4 linked regions of the Xenopus tropicalis genome follow. The protein of the gene in region 4 purifies or fractionates together with the protein of the main gene of each other region. This does not show direct contact. Links are inferred from orthologs where the notes say so. Each region holds a gene or a part of one and is shown on either strand. Other genes may lie near its edges. The genes, in order: arrb1, pcna, rack1 and igf1r.

Region 1 (4,635 bases), on a different chromosome or scaffold from region 4:
TTTCCCTTTGGGTGGTCCTTGCGGGGTGACACCCAAAGGTGTTTATACCTCGTACTAGACCAGGCCTCACAACATGGCATTTATGGGCACAACTCCATGGCATATGGAACGGAAGTTGTTGTTGGCTTTTGCAGCCACTGCCTGGCACTGAGCTCCTCTCCTGAGTTTACTTCTGAGTTATTTTCATATCTCTCCATAGTTTCCCTTTGGGTGGTCCTTCCGGGGTGACACCCAAAGGTGTTTATTCCTCGTACTAGACCAGGCCTCACAACATGGCATTTATGGGCACAACTCCATGGCATATGGAACGGAAGTTGTTGTTGGCTTTTGCAGCCACTGCCTGGCACTGAGCTCCTCTGCTTAGTTTACTTCTGAGTTATTTTCATATCTCCCCATAGTTTCCCTTTGGGTGGTCCTTGCGGGGTGACACCCAAAGGTGTTTATACCACGTACTAGACCAGGCCTCACAACATGGCATTTATGGGCACAACTCCATGGCATATGGAACGGAAGTTGTTGTTGGCTTTTGCAGCCACTGCCTGGCACTGAGCTCTTCTGCTGAGTATTTTTCTGTGTTATTTTCATATCTCTCCATAGTTTCCCTTTGGGTGGTCCTTCTGGGGTGACACCCAAAGGTGCTTATACCTTCCGTGTACTAGACCAGGCCTCACAACATGGCATTTATGGGCAAAACTCCATGGCATGTGGAACAGAAGTTGTTGTTGGCTTTTGCAGTCACTGCCTGGCACTGAGCTCTTTTGCTGAATTTACTTCAGCATATCTCTCCATAGTTTCCCCGTTTGGATGACATTTAGCGGCTTTGATTTTATTCCCAAAATATAAACCAGACATTCATCTCCATGGATTGTGACCTTACGTTCACTCGCCCTGACTATTCCCAAACCCCTCAACGGAATTTATTTCTCTATTTTCTCCAGAGATTGATGCTTTTGGCCCACATCCAGACTTGGGGTTTTGTTTTTATAATACTCTTGTATGTGTTTTTGTATTTGTATGATTTAAAGGCAAAGTATTCTATTATTTGAATTGTGTTTTGTTTTGTTTATTTTGCCTGTTTCTGGTCCTGACTACATGCACCTCTCCCCCAGGCCTACACTCTAATTCCAACAGCAGAGATAGGAACCCTGCTTACTGGGCTGCCCTGGGAAATATGTTGTACAAGCAAAGCTAATTCACCTTTAAAGCATCTTGCCATACTTTCTTTATTTTGGTCCTGTTTCCATCATTTCCCACTGCTTCTATCCTGACCTACTGTCTCCATCTTGCCCTACTGTCTCCATCTTGCCCTACTGTCTCCATCTTGCCCTACTGTCTCCCATCTTGCCCTACTGTCTTCATTTTGCCCTACTGTCTCCATCTTGCCCTACTGTCTCCATCTTGCCCTACTGTCTCCATCTTGCCCTACTGTCTCCATCTTGCCCTACTGCCTCCATCTTGTCCTACTGTCCCCATCTTGCCCTACTGTCTCCATCATGACCTACTGTCGCCCTCTTGCCCTATTGACCATTGCCCTATCTTACCATTCTTCCTATCCCACTGTCTCCATCATATCTTACAATCCCCATTGTATCTTGCTGTTGCCATTTTGCTGGGGGGAATATTTGGGCCCCCTATCTCTGTCTCTGCATTCCCGCTGGCTGGGGAGGGTCTCACCCATACCCGCGGGAGGCTGCAGAGATTTGATATGCTGGTGTTGTGCCCGCGGCACGCTGTACTGCCGATGACGACACGAGCCAATCAGACTTGCACGCAGGGCATAACACAGTAAATGGGAGAATTTTGATGCAGCTGCTTGGATTGAGAGAGAGCGAGAGAGCGAGAGAGCGGCTGAGATTCCAGCCCGTGGGTAGTCGCTGCCATTGGAGAGAATAAAGGAATCAGTGGGGGGGAGAGAGCTGAGAGGGAAGGGACCGTCGCACACCTCGCTGGCTGGCAGGGCTGCAGTGATGCCGGTGCCTAGATGGATTACATGTGGATTGACAGCCCGTACCTAAGGATCAGAACCGTATTGGAGGAGTCGGTTCCTGCTTGCGTGGTGGCACCGCTGGGAATCCGCTGTGGGGAGCTGGAAGCCCACAAGGCCGCGCCAATGGAGAACGTATTTCTGTGAGTAAGGACAGGTCTGTGGCACAATGTGTGTCGGACTGGGCACAAGGAATCACCCACAGCGATGCCCCCTCGTGCCAACATGACCCCCGGGGTGTTACCTCTAATGAGCAAATCCCACTGTTATTCCCCTTAATGCCCGGTGCTTGCAGTGCCCCCTCTTTCTGTGGCCGGGCTGCCTTTAGTGCCCTGCAGTTTGTGTGGCCCCCAAGCTGTATGCAAAGGGACCCTCAGGGATTGGCTGTAACTGTAGTATAGTGTGTATAGTAAGGCAAGATGGGGCTCGGCATAGGGGCTACAGTGCTGGACAGTGTGCAGAATAAGGTAAGGTGGTGCCAGGAGAAGGGGCTCTAACTATGGCATAATGTGTATAGTAAGGCAAGATGGCACTCGGCATAGGGGCTACAGTGCCAGGAGAAGGGGCTCTAACTATGGCATAATGTGTATAGTAGGCAAGATGGCACTCGGCATAGGGGCTACAGTGCCAGGAGAAGGGGCTCTAACTATGGCATAATGTGTATAGTAAGGCAAGATGGCACTCGGCATAGGGGCTACAGTGCCAGGAGAAGGGGCTCTAACTATGGCATAATGTGTATAGTAGGCAAGATGGCACTCGGCATAGGGGCTACAGTGCCAGGAGAAGGGGCTCTAACTATGGCATAATGTGTATAGTAAGGCAAGATGATGGTAGGTGTACAGGCTGTAACTGGGGGGGGATGCTATGAAATGTAGAAATATGTAATAGGCTGCAGGGGGGCCCCGTAACTTGGCACAACCCTGCCCTGTTCTGGTATAGAGTTTGCACCCTTTGTGCACTGGCACCTCATTCCCAGTGGAACCCATTGGGCACGTAACCCCTAAAGGACTTGTGTCACTGGGAAGCTCTTGGAATACAGAAATGACGTCACAATAGTGCGGCCAATAATGTCATTTAATGGGGCTCTTGGCATTTTAGCAGCTATATGGTCGATAGGGTCCAAATTATCTTAGCAACCAGGCAGTGGTTGGAATGAGAGACTGGGATACGAATAGAAGTGGGACTGAATAGAAAGAAAAGTTACAGAGCTGTAACAATAAAACTGTGGCCGCACAGAGCAATGGGTCATTGGTTCCCAAGAGCACAATGGAGGCAATTCATTGGCTGAGTGACAGTGGGATGTGCAATCTGGCGGGGGGGGGGTGGGGGTCATATAATTAGATTAGGGCTGATAAGAGGATTAGCGTTAGGGAGAGTGGGATAAATATATAAGGCGCTTTGGCTGAGCAATGAAGCCTTTGGGGTAATTACCTTCCTTATCCGCTGGCCCAATCCGGGGCAACTGGAAGTGACCTGGATATTTAGGTGCTCTAATACCATCCAAGGCTGTAGTTGTATAACCAGGCACCCATGGGTGCTATAATTGGGCTCCCAAAACCTCTATTCGAAGTCTGGGAGCCCATTGGCCCTGTGACTTGTATCTTTCTGGGTGCAATTAAGGACTCAGCAGCAGGGGAGGGGGGTGACTGGTCTGGGGCCCAATCACAGTGCAGGGACGGGGCCATAGCCATTGTCATAGGACTGCAAAAGGTACAGGGTTTGCTGGTGAGATGGGCAGGGGTCTGGGCAGGTAAGAGGGTAACAGGGCAGACTGGGGGTTTTGCTATGTATGTACCTAGCCTTGGTTACATGGATTCTAGGGCTCAGGGCCTGTGTGTGGGCGGGGGGGCTAATAACCCAGGCTCCATTGTGGGGAAAGCCCTGCTGATAGCATGTGGCCCAGTCATCTGTCGGACCTGCCAAATATCCTGCATTTTTGCCCCCCGTATATTTAATGGTGATATAAACCCAGCCATGATGCTGCCCCACGGCGCCCCCTAGTTTTGCTATAGAAGCTGCCAAAAACCATCATTACAGATGCAAGGAAATTCCCCAATGAGAATTGTACTGATAAATAAGTTGATTATAAATGCAAAAGAACTGCCCAGTGAGAATGCTGATTCCCAGCACTGTGTCAGGCCCCTTGCTGGTACCTTACATATAGAGATAATGATGGCATTTTCTCCCCTCATTATATGGCACAGGAATCAGACATGGGGATAAAGGGACAGACTTGTTCAGTGCTGGGAAACTGTGCTTATTGCTCCCAACTCCAATTGCAGGAACAGAGAACAGGGAGCCGGATTTACTCACATCAGCTGGGATTCTCATTGGAGGATTTTTCGCATGTTAAAGCAGTCGCTGGCTGTGGGGATTTGGGGGAAAGTTTTATTGTGCAATATTGCTTTAAGAATACAGCCCTGATGTTGCTGGACTACAGCTCCCAGCATGCCCCAAGCTTCATTATATGTTACATTATTGTGGGATTTGTAGCCCAGTAACAACTGAGTAACGTTGGGTTGAGCCGCGCTGGGCAGCAGGGTTTGTATCCCCTTTAACCTTGGGTGAGCCAATGAGAGTACATGGTCAGGGAATAATCAGGAGTGGCTGGGACATGGCCATTAGGGGGGCACAGGGGGAGTCCAACCAGT
Region 2 (4,674 bases), about 8.1 Mb from region 4:
TGTAAGCTGTACTGGCTCATTCATTTCTATTGTAACCTGGTAAACAAGAAAAAAAAAAAAAAAAAAAAACAATGGTCACTTCAAGTCTAACAAAGTTTTAAAGCTATGACTTGCTGTGGTCTTGTCTACTATTACTTGGGGTTGAAGGAAAGTGTACAACGTGGGAATTAACCAAGGGTCACACTGGGGGAACCTTGTCACATCTATATACAGTGGCACTATTACATTTCAAAATGACACTATAGGTTTTGAAACACTTACAGCTTCCTCCTCTTTATCCACATTTGAAGTTTGTGACAGCTTTACGTTTCCAGTGCCCAGCTCTCCACTTGCAGAGAACTTTACCCCATCCTTTGCACAAGAAATAACAACTGCGTCACCAATCTGGCTTAGATCTCTGCAGATGCGTGCAAATTCACCAGATGGCATCTTTATTACACAGCTGTACTCTTGTTCCTGTCATGAGAAACCAGACAATTTAGCAGAGTGCAATCCAAAATTAACTGCATTAGACAGGGTTACTTTAGACTGGCATAAGAGGTCACATAACTGCCATGGGTACAGAGGAAGGGGAGTTTCTACAAGCAGCATGTATATTACCCCCTTAGAACTTTGTGAAACCCCAAGACTGGAACTATAAAAACCAAAACAACTGAAGTGTACAAACTGAGTGTACACTGCTTTGGGTTTAAATTTTGCAATAACTAATAGACAATCAAAAAGTGTCCAGTTACGTTTTGAACAGTGATCCTAGCGAATCTGTTTTGTAAGCAGACAAAAATCAGCAACAACTTAAACATTAAAAAAATATACTTACAGGAATGCCCAGCTGCTCCACATCAAGGTCCATTAGCTTCATTTCATAGTCAGAAACTTTCTCTTGATCTAAATTAAAAACATTTAAGTTAAACTTAAGCAGAACAAAAACGTTGGGCAGAAATGCTTCACTGTTTGAGGTTCTGTACCAGCCCAAGGCAAACACGGCCCTTTAGCAGGGAAGATATGTGCCCTCAAATAGCTTCCACATCTTTTCTGCTGATTCACTGCCCATGCTCTGTGCTTAGGGACCGACAATATACTGTACATATATGGAATATAAACGTCACAAGATAAGGCTGAATAGTATTTCAGATTCTTATCACTGGCACCTTAAAAACCAGTGCAATTAGCATTAGAATTTAATAATGCCCTGTAATAGCTATGACAGAAACCTAGTTTTTTTTTTTTTTTAATGATTTACAACAACCCCTAAACTTCACTTCTAAACTGCACAAATATACAGTATATGCACACTAATTTAAAACATAAGCCTAATTTAATTTAATTTATTATCAGTAGTGACCAGTGCCTTCTGGATCAGAATTTAACATGGTTTGATGTCAGAAGGAAATTTTACAAGGCCACAAAAAGAGCCAAGATGGCTACCTGCTTTGTACAACTTTGAAGGCTGGTACAGTATAATCAGTAATTCAAGCATTTCTTGTTTCTATTTTAGCACAAATTAATCAAGATACTATAGTTATAAAAATCCATTAAAAAGTTCCATTACCTATAACTGTTTTAGCCCTGCCTTCCAAGCCAATGAAATAAGCACCAAGCTACTATAATAAAGAATTTACTTATTGGCATGAAGGGTATGAAAACCAAAGTGTAATGTTGCAAATACTCACTTGGCGACTCAAACACCATTGTAACTGTATCAGCATTGTCTTCTGCCCTCAGAGTAATGATATCTTCACTTGCAGCACACTTCAAGATCTTAGACATACTGTGAAAAAAAGTAAAGATAGATATATAGTTATATATAATGCCAAACAGGAGACTGGCAAAGGTAGACATCTTGGTAAGCAACCTGGGCATTTTACTCCAATGTATGTATGTATAACTTTATTTATAAAGCACCACAAGGGTACGCAGCTTACACACAGGGAGGACAAGATATATATATATATATATAGGAAGGAGGTCCCTGCCCCGTAGAGCTTACAATCCGAGTAAACCAGGGGCCCTGTCTAAGCAAGGCGGCACAAAAAAATCCCCATTGAAGGAGCTTTCCAACACTCCAGATGCATACAGCAGCGTATTCCTTTTACCTTTTTATATAGATTGTAAGCTATATGGGGCAGGGACCTCCATTCTCTTGTCTCTTTGACTCTTAACTTATTGCAGCTGTATCTTGTATTTATTGTTATACTTTGTATGTATCTATTATCTTAACCCCATTTGTATTAATGTATTTTACTGTACAGCGCTGAGTACATAAGTAGCGCTTTATAAAGATATACATAGAACCCATGAGGGCCCATTAAAGAAAAGACACTGAGCAGCTGTGGGCCTCAGTGAAGTGTAGGGGAAGTGTTAGACAAAGTGAGGCAACACTAAGGAAAATAATTTTATTTCGGTTCATTGATAAAATTCTTATTTTCCAACTATCCTGTGGCATTTGGATTAGAGTGGCCGCACTGCTGAAGCTTGGCACAATGAGCCGGTTTCCCGCCAAGCCGGCGGCTTTGTTGAAGTTGGCGCGTATGTGACGTCACGCGGGAAGCCAGGTTGCGCGCGCAATCACTGAGACTTGAACGGACAAGTCCATGACAGAGGCGGGGGGGGGGGGAGTAGATCGGCCAAGTCCATGACAGAGGGGGGGGGGAATATGTATGTATGGAATACATATTTGCGCCAAATACAATAAAATGAGAGCGTGTATCGCGCTACGTGTACCCAATAGTAAAGTCTGGACGCATTAAGCCTGCCGCACTAGCCCGTCCCTTCAACTAGTGATCTCCGCAGTGCTGCGCACTTACTAAGCGCCCACATAGCTTCCTTACCTGCTCATCTTGACGCCGATGGATTGATTGCGATCGCACCTGTAGGTGTCAAAGCCGTCCGATCGCAGAGTGAGCTGCACCAACGAGACGTGCGAGGAGTCCATGCTCTGCAAGCTGATGCCGCTCGATGTGATGTCCCAGCACGCCTCATCGATCAGGTCCTTCAGGGCCTCCAGCACTTTCTTCAGGATGGAACCCTGCACCAAGCGAGCTTCAAACATGGTGACGGCTGTACGGAGCTGGGGGAAAGAGAGAAGTGTGCCGGGGGTGCAGATGGCGGAGCTCAGTAGCTGAATTCCCTAGTACCTCTGTGGTACCTCCTCCCAACTGAAGCTCCGGCGCCAAAATGAGCCCGCCAGCCGGCCTTCCGCCGCTTATATTATAGTGGTGATGTCACTATACGAATGTAAGGCGCCAAAATTATGACCCGCCCCCTCATATCTTTCCTTGTGCAGTCAGTCCCTGTCACTGAAACACCATGGTCTCCGTTATATAAGCTTTGCTTGTGCCCCATTATGAACTCTACACCTAATAAATATGAAAAATAAATATAAATAACTGTAATTTGTTGGATTAGCTATACTAGTTCTGGTCAGTGACAACAGACCCAAAGGACATTTAGTTACTGGGGCCCTGAAAATGCAGAAAGGATGGGGTCATTAATTTTTTTATATATTAAACCGCAGACATATTAGTTCTATGTTTTACATTTTTTACTATCATGCCCCATTACACCTCCAATCACTCTCTACCACCTTTACTCCCTACCCCAGGGCTGCCACCTGAGCCCAAAATTTTACTGCCCTGGCCTGTAAAAATAATGCTTGATGCCAATGTAATTAATGGTGGAGATATAAATATAGGAATGCATGCTGCGAAGGCCAGAATACTTGCAAAATTATAGGGCCCATTCATTAAACCACAATCTTTTTGTTTTTGAGAAAAAATCTTATTCTTTCTAATTTGTAGAACTTTTCACAATGTCCACAATAATTTTGTTAAAATTCCATGACTTTTTCATGGTTTTCGTTAACTTCTACCAAAAAGTTGGAAAGACTACAACCATTTCGGAATTCAATTTGGTAAACTATCTTACTATCTTTTGGCCAGGTTGGATCTGTGCCATTGAGTCCTATGGAAGACTATGAAAGCCAGAAAGGTTTTCACACTGTTTACGAACGTTCAGATCCGAAAATTCGGAACGCAACCACGATATTTTCGTACGAGAAAAGAATTTTTGTGGTTACTCCGAATTTTTTCCAATCATGATTTTAACCACCCAAAAATCATGGTTTAATGAATTAGCCCCTAAGTGTTCCAGCCTTGTTTGTAGGCCAAAAAACAAAAGCTCTACTGCCCCAGAACAGCCAGTGTTGAAGCTCAAATGGACTCAGGGTTAAGTAAAATCCCCTGAGGCTCTGTGAGTACTACCATCCACAAGATCAAAAAATTGCACCATCTGCAAGATCAAGGCACAGCCAATATATTGTGACTGTCACCAGAACGAATATAGGTCTTGTATTAAATCAGACACAGACTTTTTGGAGCAATTTGTTTGGATTCGTAACATATTCTTTGTAAATTACATTTTGAGGCTTCACTCATCCTTATGCAGCATCCTACAGACTGCTGTTGATCATTGCTGTTGTAAACCCATTCTAACTAATCTGGTTAAGGGAAAGTCTTATGGTGGCCATACACATTACAATTATAATCTTTCCTGCAACCATTGGTCATACCCTCCTCTATCATTCAGAGCTGAATTGTCAGATATGTAGTTAGAAATAAAATAATTCTACCCCTATCTGATGATTCAGAGCTTAATAATTGCCTTTTCTCAGGCACC
Region 3 (4,568 bases), on a different chromosome or scaffold from region 4:
AACCATCTTTCTATTAATGCCTATTATACCTCACATTTTGCAGATCACATTTTAGGCCAAAGATCCAAGCTTGCAAACTGCATGCTCAATTCATCCTATTCAAAAACTAATGCCTCATAACCATTCTAGTCCAACTACTTCTCTATCAAGTGACGTTTCGTACCTTGCCTCCAGAAGCACACAGAGACCCATCAGGTGACACCGTAACAGTGTTCAAGTAACCACTGTGACCAATGTGGTTGGTCTTCAGTTTGCAATTGGCCAGATTCCAGACCTGAAATAAGAAAAGTCATTTAGAATACAACTATAGGCTACTGGAATCCAAGGATGTGTACACAGAAAAAAAAGATTAAATGCACTATGTACATATCCACAGATGTTAAACTATGGAGAGAAAGATTTCATATAGTAAACAACCTGTACCATATGGTATTCTTAAAAAGGTGCAAGAGGATACTGGCCATGACTTGGTAGGGTAGTTTGGCCAATTTTGACCATATGGGCCTACTTTGTGTGCCTATATAGCCAATACAAAAGGATGGGGGGGGGGGGGGGGGGAAGATAAATAATTCCATGATTCTGGTAGATCAAGGATCAGCAGTCCTCATGGCCAATTTCCAGTCAGCCAGAAGGGAAGCAGCAACTCTGCAATTTGTCTAATTTGTTCAGTGTCGACACTGAATAGAAAAAAAAGCCACACATGTACTGCCACTACAATATTCATTCATCACTCAAATGCTGTGTCTGGTAGGCCCATGTATGGGGGCTGAAAGCAGAGCTGCAAGATTAACTACAGAAGTAGGGCATAATTATTTTTACATTATGTGTTTTGCGCTTTTGTAACAGCCCTAGGAAATCATAGCCCTTTAGAAGTAATGTGCCCCAGTAGCTTCCCATCTTTTCTGATGATTCACTGCACATGTTCTGTTCTGTTCTGTTTCCCGAGCTTAGAACTATTGACAGGCTAGAAAATTTGCGACAACCCCTAGACTTAGCATCTCAACTGCACACTGAGCACGAGTGTCACCGACACTAATAAAATCCAAGATGGGGAGTTCCCGTGACAACTGCAGAAGACCTGAACATTCAGTATATAAAAGTGGGCATCTCTAGCCACTTATTTTCAGGGCTTAGTTCTTAGTACTTGTTTAAGAGGGGTCAGTAGTGCACTATTTAAAGGGGGAGTGAAAACGCTTTAAAGCTGCTTAACACTTTACTTACCAAACAAGTATGCATTTAAAAAAAAAAAAAAAAAAAAAAAAAAAACTCTGAACCCGTATTAAGACTGGAGGCATCCAAAATACTCACCTTCACCATCTTGTCCCAGCCGCAGGATACAATGATGGGATTACTGCTGTTAGGGGAGAACCGGACACAGGACACCCATTCAGTATGTGATTCCTCCTAAGAAAGACAGCTTCATTAGTAAACAGCCTGCCAAAAGACCTAGAATGACTGTTTATTTGGTCCCTTCATAATTGCAGGAGTGTCATCCTGAAATTAGTGTGCCTATATTAGACACTCAGAATACAATTGTTCTAATCACGTGGACCAACAGAACTAAAATATAGTTATAACGCTCATACATACCTGCACAGTGTATTTACAAACGCCTAAAGTGTTCCACAGCTTGATTGTTTTGTCACGGGATCCAGACACAATTTGCCGGTTGTCAGCAGAGAAAGCGACACTCAGGACATCTTTGGTGTGTCCTACAAACCGGCGTGTGGTGGTGCCACTGCAGAGGGATATTTGACACGATGACAAAATGACAGTATCCATTCCCCTCAGAACACTCCTTTCTGTGCCACCCTGCAGGGGGAGGGACAGATTCATAGCTTCCCTCTACCTAGGTTACTATTTAACTGGTCCTTTGTCATATGCTTCCCCTGCAGGGATATTCTGGTCTGACAGTAAGTGGACTCAAATGATTCTTAATGCTAAAGTTAGTCCAGTCATTCCTTCTATCCAAGTAATAAGTCAAATTCTGTAGTACTGAAACCATGTCTAATTCCCTGCTGCTGATCAGTAACTTTTGCTGAACATTCTGAAAAGCAGCCATTTAACAGGCCAGGTAATGGAACAAGGATAAGTGTACTCACGTTGTAAGATCCCACAGTCTGAGTGTTCCATCCCAGGATCCTGAGAGAGCGAACTGCCCATCTGAAGAGATAACCACATCACTGACAAAGTGGGAGTGACCCCGGAGAGCACGTTGTGGAACCCCATAGTTTGTTTCATCACGAGTCAGCTTCCACATGATGACAGTCTTATCTGTGCAGAGAGGAAAAAAAAAAAAAAAAAAAAGTCAAAGGACATAAGAACACTATTGCTGATTTAAATAAGTGGTAACCTCAACTTCTATGCAGTAAACCTCCAACAAGGCAGTTCCACACAGGGGTAACCCTCCCAAAATAAACCATGCCATCACAGCGAAGCCATGCCATACCTTGTCATTGGTCTACGGTGTCTCATTTTATGTCTGTAAGCAGGTGAAGATGTTTTTCCTTTGCACAACCCAAACTGCCAGAAGAATGAGGTTATCTAGTATGCAAGAAAAATGAAGACATGAGATGTGCAAAGAAAAAACACTTCCACCACTGCTCATACAACTCTATGGCATTGTCAGCCTGCAAATTCTTCAGTACCAAGGGCTAAGGAACAAAGTTCTAGCAAACAATAGCTGCCACTATACATCATATATCGCTCACACCATAATTAAAAGGTAAGTTAGCCCGCAAAATCTACCACCATCTTTCCCTTGCTAATCAAAACGACAGATAAAGAAAAGCTTCATTATAGTTAGGACTTCCAATGACGCATAATGAATGAGGAGCCATTTTAGCCCCGATACAGTAACATATCACACAGCGACACTAAGTAGTTACAGCAATCACATTTACCAGGGCTGAAAAAAGCAACGTGTAAGCATTCATGCTCTTGTTCTAACGATAAACGGGGTCCCGGATACCGCAATGCATATAAACTTGCGTGGATCGATAGGCTACAGTAGGCGTCTCATGCATCTCACCTCTGGAAGAGCTGAGAATCATGTCCGGGAATTGTGGGGTAGTCGCGATTTGCGTGACCCAGCCATTATGGCCCTTTAGGGTCCCCCGAAGTGTCATTTGCTCAGTCATGGCTGCGATGAGTCCGAAACCGCTCCACCGGCAAAGGATGGAGACAGATGGTAGACACCGGGCCTAAAGCGACCGAAGAGAGGCTGAACTAGGCCTCGCCTCGCCTTTTATACAAAGCGGCGTCCTGACGTAAGCGCGCTGCGCCGCCTTGCGTCAGGACGCCTTTACCCGGATGCATTACTTGTTTACATCACCAGAAACGAGTTTCAACATGGCAGCGAGTTGCAGAATGTCGTACAGTGCAACTTAGGCTAAAAAATCGCGCTACTTTAAAATCTTTTAAAACAAGACAAAAAAAGAAAATATGAATGACAACGTGAATTCCAAGCATAGGTATAAGCGCTAGAACAGAATTGGCTATTAAATCAACTGGTGACTACTTTCCCTGTCAAATAGAGAAATCGCGGGGATAGGCTGACCGTACGCAGGCTAGTTTGCGTTCTGATTGTAGCACACGTGAGAGGGTTCCCATGCTTATATGACTGTGTGCTGGCGCCATATTGGTTGTGGAATGTTAGCTGCCGTAAGTGTGGAACACGCACATCTTGGATATATTGTTGTTTAAAACGTAACTATCATGAGGATACTGGGCGGCAGGCATAAGTAGTTTTTTTTTGTCATAAACAGGAAATAAAACATTAGAAACATTAAAAGTGCTTCAAAACATGCTTTACATGTATTATATTAGTCAGTGCCCCACTGGGTCTCTTTCACCACTGGGGAATCTCCTTTATAGAGTTATCTCTGTTTGTAGGGGTACCTTTTGGCATTATAGTCCACACCTTGCGCCCTGCTCCTTACTCCCCCACCTGAACTAGGGCAGGGACACTGCAGTATCTCCTGCACTGAACAATTTCCTTATAAAAAAAAAAAAATTCTGCTCTTTAAGCCACACGCAGCCTATGGCAAAGTTCTCACTATTTTTGATTGAACCAAACTGTAAACTGGGATTGAAACCACCATTAAAGGAGAACTATAGCCCCCAACAATGTAGGTCTCTACAAAAATATATTGCATAAGCAAGCTCATACGTAAAACCCTGCTTCATCTAAATAAACCATTTTCATAAAAATAGACATTTTTAGTAGTTTGTGCTATTGCGTAATCATAAATAGAAAATTGCCATTTTAAGAATTAAGGGCCACCCCCTGGGATCATAGGATTCACAGTGCACACAAACAAGCCAAGGCACACATACATGCTAGGCCCCATCAGCCAATGAATAGACAGGGTTCTGTCTTTAACTCCCACACTACTTCCTGTTACGGTTAGAGCTGGGCAATATTTACTGATATATATATATATTCCATTTTGGTGAGATTACTAGGTCACTTAAAATTATATAAACTATCTGTTGGTTAAGTATTCATTCTGGGGGTATAGTAGGGCGGCCCATGCTGCACATTACTAATTGTAACATACCTCTTA
Region 4 (4,850 bases):
CAGACACAATGATCACATGGCAGAGGAGAGAGTAAATATTCTTGGTGTGTGCTTCTAGCTCACGGAGTGGATCGGCAGAGTCTTTGGACAGGGTTCTGCTAGTAATACAATAACTGACACCGATTATTGAGATGCTACAGATACACAAAGCTCAACAGATTAACATAGCTCTGCCTATCCCCCATTGTATTTCTCAATCACAGTCATTAAAAGCCAAGCACTGGGAGAGAAAACACATGTAAAATTAGTTCTTAGTGTTATTTTTTATATTTGGGTAATTCTTATACTCCTCCCATCCAAAATGGAAAACACAAACATGAGAAAGTATTTAACACTTGCCTACAGCCGTCTCCTAAACAAGGTGCCTGAGACGGTAACAAATCTTGGCATGGACCACACAATTTGGGACAGGCATAAAAAATAAACTAAAGGGGAAATAGAAGGGAGGGAAGAAATCAAGATTTAATCACCTGTAATAATTGTTTTTATATCTTTGCCAACACTTATCGGGGACTGGTGCAGCATGATGAAGTTTTCCCCATATATTTATCTATCTCTGCACATAGGTGCTTAATGTGTTACATATATGCTACCAGCCCCTGTATCATTATAGCCATTGCATGGTTTTGATAAGAATAATCTTGGGTGCATAGAAGTCATAACGACTGCAACTTTGTGTCAGTGGAGAGGTTGCTGGATGCAAGCATCATGGTGCATCAGTTGCCGACAACATAAAAAAACAGTAACTAAACTAGTGGGTAAAAGGTTAAACTGTCACATCCTTGAGGTGAAGTCTTATATACATGTTACTGCATCTCCCAAGCAATATCACTCAGTAGCACCAATACTTACAGTACAAACAGTGTGGACTAGAATGCAACTAGATGCATGAGAATCTCAAACTTCAGACCTGTCATAAAAATCTGAGACATAAGGGCAAGTCCACGGTCCTTCTCCACAGAAAGCCCAAACTACCCATACCGAAGCAGGGATGGGCCACTGCTGCCTGGCTACACAAGCCAGCATGACCTGAGATTTATAGGATGGCTACAATTCCAATGATGAGCTTACAAGTTATCAAAACAGTGGCTGCATTTACTGCAAACGAGCGACTGAAATCAGGGGAAGGGCAATAGTTATTCAACAGCTCCCATTGGAATGCTGGTATCTGTAGTCCAACAGAAGCAAGTTTGGAGATTTCTAGACTACAGCACCAAGCTGTATAATATTTAAAATGTGCTGCAGCAGCATTGGGAGAGATTGGTACCTGAAGCATGGAGATGGGAGCTATGCAGCGTGTGTGGTTATCCATTAGTGCAACGCACATGCAGTTATGAGACGAGAGTGTGCAGTCTGAGCAAGTCACTCGCATCCATACAATTCCCCACACAACAGATGAAGATGAGAGAGGAAAGAGAGACCCAATGCTGATGTACACTCAGATGCCAAAACATTTAGCAGGAAGGGGGCAATGATGTCCAACCTGCAGTTATTCGGCTGTTGTGGACTACAGCTCCCAGCATTCTCCCACACACACACACAAAAGGCTGCAGATTGGGCATCCCTGGTGCTGCACATTGGGAGCTTAGGGACACTGACAGCTCATATCTCTAATACTGGAATGATTGATGGCTCTCTGGGGCCCCTAAAGGCCAACACTGAGGGGAGCTGCGTACTAGTAATGGGGAAACAACAGCAGGTGGGATTCGGGCCAAAGAGTAGAGAAAGTGCGGCCCCAAATCTTTGCTCCCCACTGATGCGCACCACAGCAGCCATACGTGCAGCCTGACGCAGCGACACTTCCCACACTGCGTGGGAGCCCCATGTGCCCGGGGTACCGGGGGGCTACAGGACACTCACCTCTCCCAGCCGACGGTCCCAGGCACAGAAGGAGGAGGACGAGGACCCCCGGGATCCAGGCCGTACAAGCAGGCACCAATCCGGCCTTCATGTCCACAAACAAGTCCCCGCGTACAGCCCACTCAGGGAATCCGAGGAAATGCTCATGCACTCTGCCAGGAACTCCCCCCTGGCCCGGAATAACAAAAATGGCGCCGCCGGTCCTTTCTACCTGGACCACAAGCCCTGGAATTCCCGGGTCACCTTGCTCTGGAACCTGCTTGGATCGTGAAACGTGGATTATTGAGCGGACTGGCCAAGTTGTACTGGCAGAGCAGCGGCCGGCACCAACTCCAGGGGGAGCCCCTGAGCTCCACAGTTCCCCCCCTCCCCACTGCCCTGACTGATAGGCAGAGGGACAAGGGGGTTACTTGGGGTTCTCTGGCAGCTACGAAACAGGCGCCGCCCACTACGAGGAATTGGGCCCCGTTATCCAATGGGTTTCTTCGCTCTTGTTACTCTGCGTATCTCCCCTACTCCCCGGTGGCAGTATATCCCTGGCCTGAGGGGGCGCTATGAAATCCGCCTGATGCTGGGTAAATCCAAGGGTAAGTGTGCGGCTCCTCAGTCCCGCAGGGTAACGTGTATCTCCCCGGCGCACAGTGTGTCAGTCCCGCCGCTGGAACCGGCCGCACGGAGGAAGCTGATGGGAGAAACCCGAAGCCCGCACCTCGCCCTCCTCTCCCTCCATGTCAGCCCCGGGCACAATCCGCTATCCCACGGCAGGAGGCCGCTGCACACCCGCCGGACCAATGAATGGAGGAGAGTATCTCGGCCCGCCCGACTCGCCGCCGTCCGAGCGATTCTCTTCAGCCCTAGGATAAAGCCCGAGAGGCTTAAAGCTGCGTACGGGCTGCTCTCCCGCTGCTTGCCGTCCGTGTGTAGGGATCCCCGGGCCGCCGCCGCCACCGAGCCTCTCTCATTGGGATCTCCTCTCAGTGTGTGTGTGTGTGCGCGGCGCTAATGCTGTAAACAAGAGCCTGAGCCGCACACTCTCTCTCTCTCTCTCTCACACACGCACAGACTCACACACTGGGCTGTCTGCAAAGCCAGGACTGGGGAGCTACTCCCGCTGCACTGGACTCGCCCGGGAATCCAATACTGCGCTCAGGCATTGCCTCCCCACTCACCCATCTACTCACTCCTCATAGTCAGTACAGGCATCCCTTATCCCCACATACTAGCGCCAGGCAGCTTCCTAGTGCGTAATAACAACAACAACAACATACTACTTCTTCTGGGGGCATTTCTCATTTGTTCATATATATATTATATTATTTATACACCTAACATCCAAAAACATTGGTATATAATTATATGTGTTTATAGAGACAATAGGTAAGAGAGCATACATGATGGCCCTTATACTACCATGAAATTAAAATGTATAATTGGTGGGGTAAAATTAAAACAAATTACTAAACCTTATTTAGTTATTATTATTTATAATGTTCTATGAGTAATGATCCCATGGCCCATTGGTACTGATCTTGTGGTACCTGATGACACAGGCTTTGTTTACCCTCCATCAGGGCTCAGCAATAAGGGCTGCACTACTGTGTAGGTGCTTCCGTTTAGATAGCCCTTGTGCTGGCGACTTTACTGTTTGTCGTTTGAGGGGACAATAGCATGAAAATAAGATTTCAATAAGTGGCGTTCTGCCACATTTTAATCAATCAAAGCGGCTTTCATTCACCAACTGACCAAAAGGATGTCGGGTAAAAAATTAGAGGGATTCTGTCAAGGGAAAATATGTTTTTGGGGTTTTTTTTTCCAAAATGCATCAGTTAATAGAAATTCACCAGCAGAATCCTGCATTGAAATCCACTTTTCAAACATTTGTATATTTACTTTTGAAATTTCACATGGGGCTAGCCATATTCTTCATTTCCCAGGGTGCCACAGCCATGTGTCCTGTGATTTGATAAACTTCAGTCACACTTTACTGCTGAGCTGCAAGTTGGAGTGATATCACTTCCCTTCCAGCAGCGATCAGCAAAACAATTGGGAGGGAGCAAGATAGCAGCTCCCAGTAGGTATCAGAATAGCACTCAATAGTAAGAAATCCAAGTCCGGCTTGGGACTCCTCCAGTTACATAGGAGTAGGAGAAACAATAGGTTACCTGAAAGCAGTTCTAATGTGTAGCTCTGGCTCCTTCTGAATGTTCAGACTCAGGTGGCGCCTACACACCAGTATTACCAGTATTACAGCTAAAAAATATACATTTATTTGTTCAAAAATGCAATTTTAAATCGTAGAATGGATTATTTGCAATGTGAACAGTGTAATATAGTAATAAAACTATATCATAAGGGTGAAGACACACTGAGCTAGTAGTAGCAGCTACTTTTTCACAGCTACTAGACTCCTAACAATACTGAGAATTGCCTCTGCTAAAGCACACGTAGAGAAATTATCAGTAAATGATCAGCATTGTCTATTTTTGTAGCCACGTAAGTAGTTACTACTAGTAGCTCAGTGTGTCTTCATCCTAAAAGTCATGACAGAATCCCTTTAACTTTATCCATTTAAAAGCATCACGCCTGATGCGTTTCATGTGCACTTAATCATAGACACAATAAAAACCCAAGAAGGTACAAAGTTTAAATAAAAGTAAAATAATTACCTTGCAAGACCACATCGCAAGCGTTAATAAATTAACCCATTGTGTTTTGTATGAAAAAAAAAATGACAGGTGATTACAAAGGGATAAACATAGCTAATCATTACATACTACTGTGTAAGTGCTCTAAATAACTCTTGTGCTGGAGATTTTATGTTATTTTTAGGAGAAAGTTGCATGAAAATAAGCGTTCAGTCAGTGGCATTCTGCCACTTTAAAACAAAACTTACATTCAGGACATATTTACTCTTTAAGGCAGGGATATTTAACTTTGTTAGGGGACAAGAAAGCATTTGGAGCTGTAGCTCAACACGAGACGCAGGCTTG

Evidence for each region.
Region 1: the proteins of igf1r (region 4) and arrb1 purify together in Homo sapiens (affinity purification with western blotting; 3 studies listed by BioGRID and IntAct, with this or other methods). This does not show direct contact. The link is inferred for Xenopus tropicalis from reciprocal best matches to the Homo sapiens genes IGF1R and ARRB1.
Region 2: the proteins of igf1r (region 4) and pcna purify together in Homo sapiens (affinity purification with western blotting; 3 studies listed by BioGRID, with this or other methods). This does not show direct contact. The link is inferred for Xenopus tropicalis from reciprocal best matches to the Homo sapiens genes IGF1R and PCNA.
Region 3: the proteins of igf1r (region 4) and rack1 purify together in Homo sapiens (affinity purification with western blotting; 4 studies listed by BioGRID, with this or other methods). This does not show direct contact. The link is inferred for Xenopus tropicalis from reciprocal best matches to the Homo sapiens genes IGF1R and RACK1.

Annotation. Positions count from the first base shown.
Region 1 is NC_030678.2:175,782,540-175,787,174, forward strand, and holds the start of arrb1 (beta-arrestin-1), read left to right. Parts: upstream 1-1,637; 5' UTR 1,638-1,981; coding exon 1,982-2,127; intron 2,128-4,635. UniProt on the Homo sapiens protein: Functions in regulating agonist-mediated G-protein coupled receptor (GPCR) signaling by mediating both receptor desensitization and resensitization processes.
Region 2 is NC_030679.2:123,021,899-123,026,572, reverse strand, and holds the start of pcna (proliferating cell nuclear antigen), read right to left. Parts: upstream 3,167-4,674; 5' UTR 3,050-3,166; coding exon 2,829-3,049; intron 1,769-2,828; coding exon 1,671-1,768; intron 886-1,670; coding exon 818-885; intron 457-817; coding exon 262-456; intron 37-261; coding exon 1-36. UniProt on the Homo sapiens protein: Auxiliary protein of DNA polymerase delta and epsilon, is involved in the control of eukaryotic DNA replication by increasing the polymerase's processibility during elongation of the leading strand.
Region 3 is NC_030684.2:71,557,197-71,561,764, forward strand, and holds the start of rack1 (receptor of activated protein C kinase 1), read right to left. Parts: upstream 3,210-4,568; 5' UTR 3,141-3,209; coding exon 3,032-3,140; exon of another isoform or gene 2,904-3,031; intron 2,545-2,903; exon of another isoform or gene 2,450-2,544; intron 2,275-2,449; coding exon 2,103-2,274; intron 1,739-2,102; coding exon 1,591-1,738; intron 1,405-1,590; coding exon 1,309-1,404; intron 275-1,308; coding exon 164-274; intron 1-163. UniProt on the Homo sapiens protein: Scaffolding protein involved in the recruitment, assembly and/or regulation of a variety of signaling molecules. Interacts with a wide variety of proteins and plays a role in many cellular processes.
Region 4 is NC_030679.2:114,969,940-114,974,789, forward strand, and holds the start of igf1r (insulin-like growth factor 1 receptor), read right to left. Parts: upstream 3,321-4,850; 5' UTR 1,952-3,320; coding exon 1,861-1,951; intron 1-1,860. UniProt on the Homo sapiens protein: Receptor tyrosine kinase which mediates actions of insulin-like growth factor 1 (IGF1). Binds IGF1 with high affinity and IGF2 and insulin (INS) with a lower affinity. The activated IGF1R is involved in cell growth and survival control.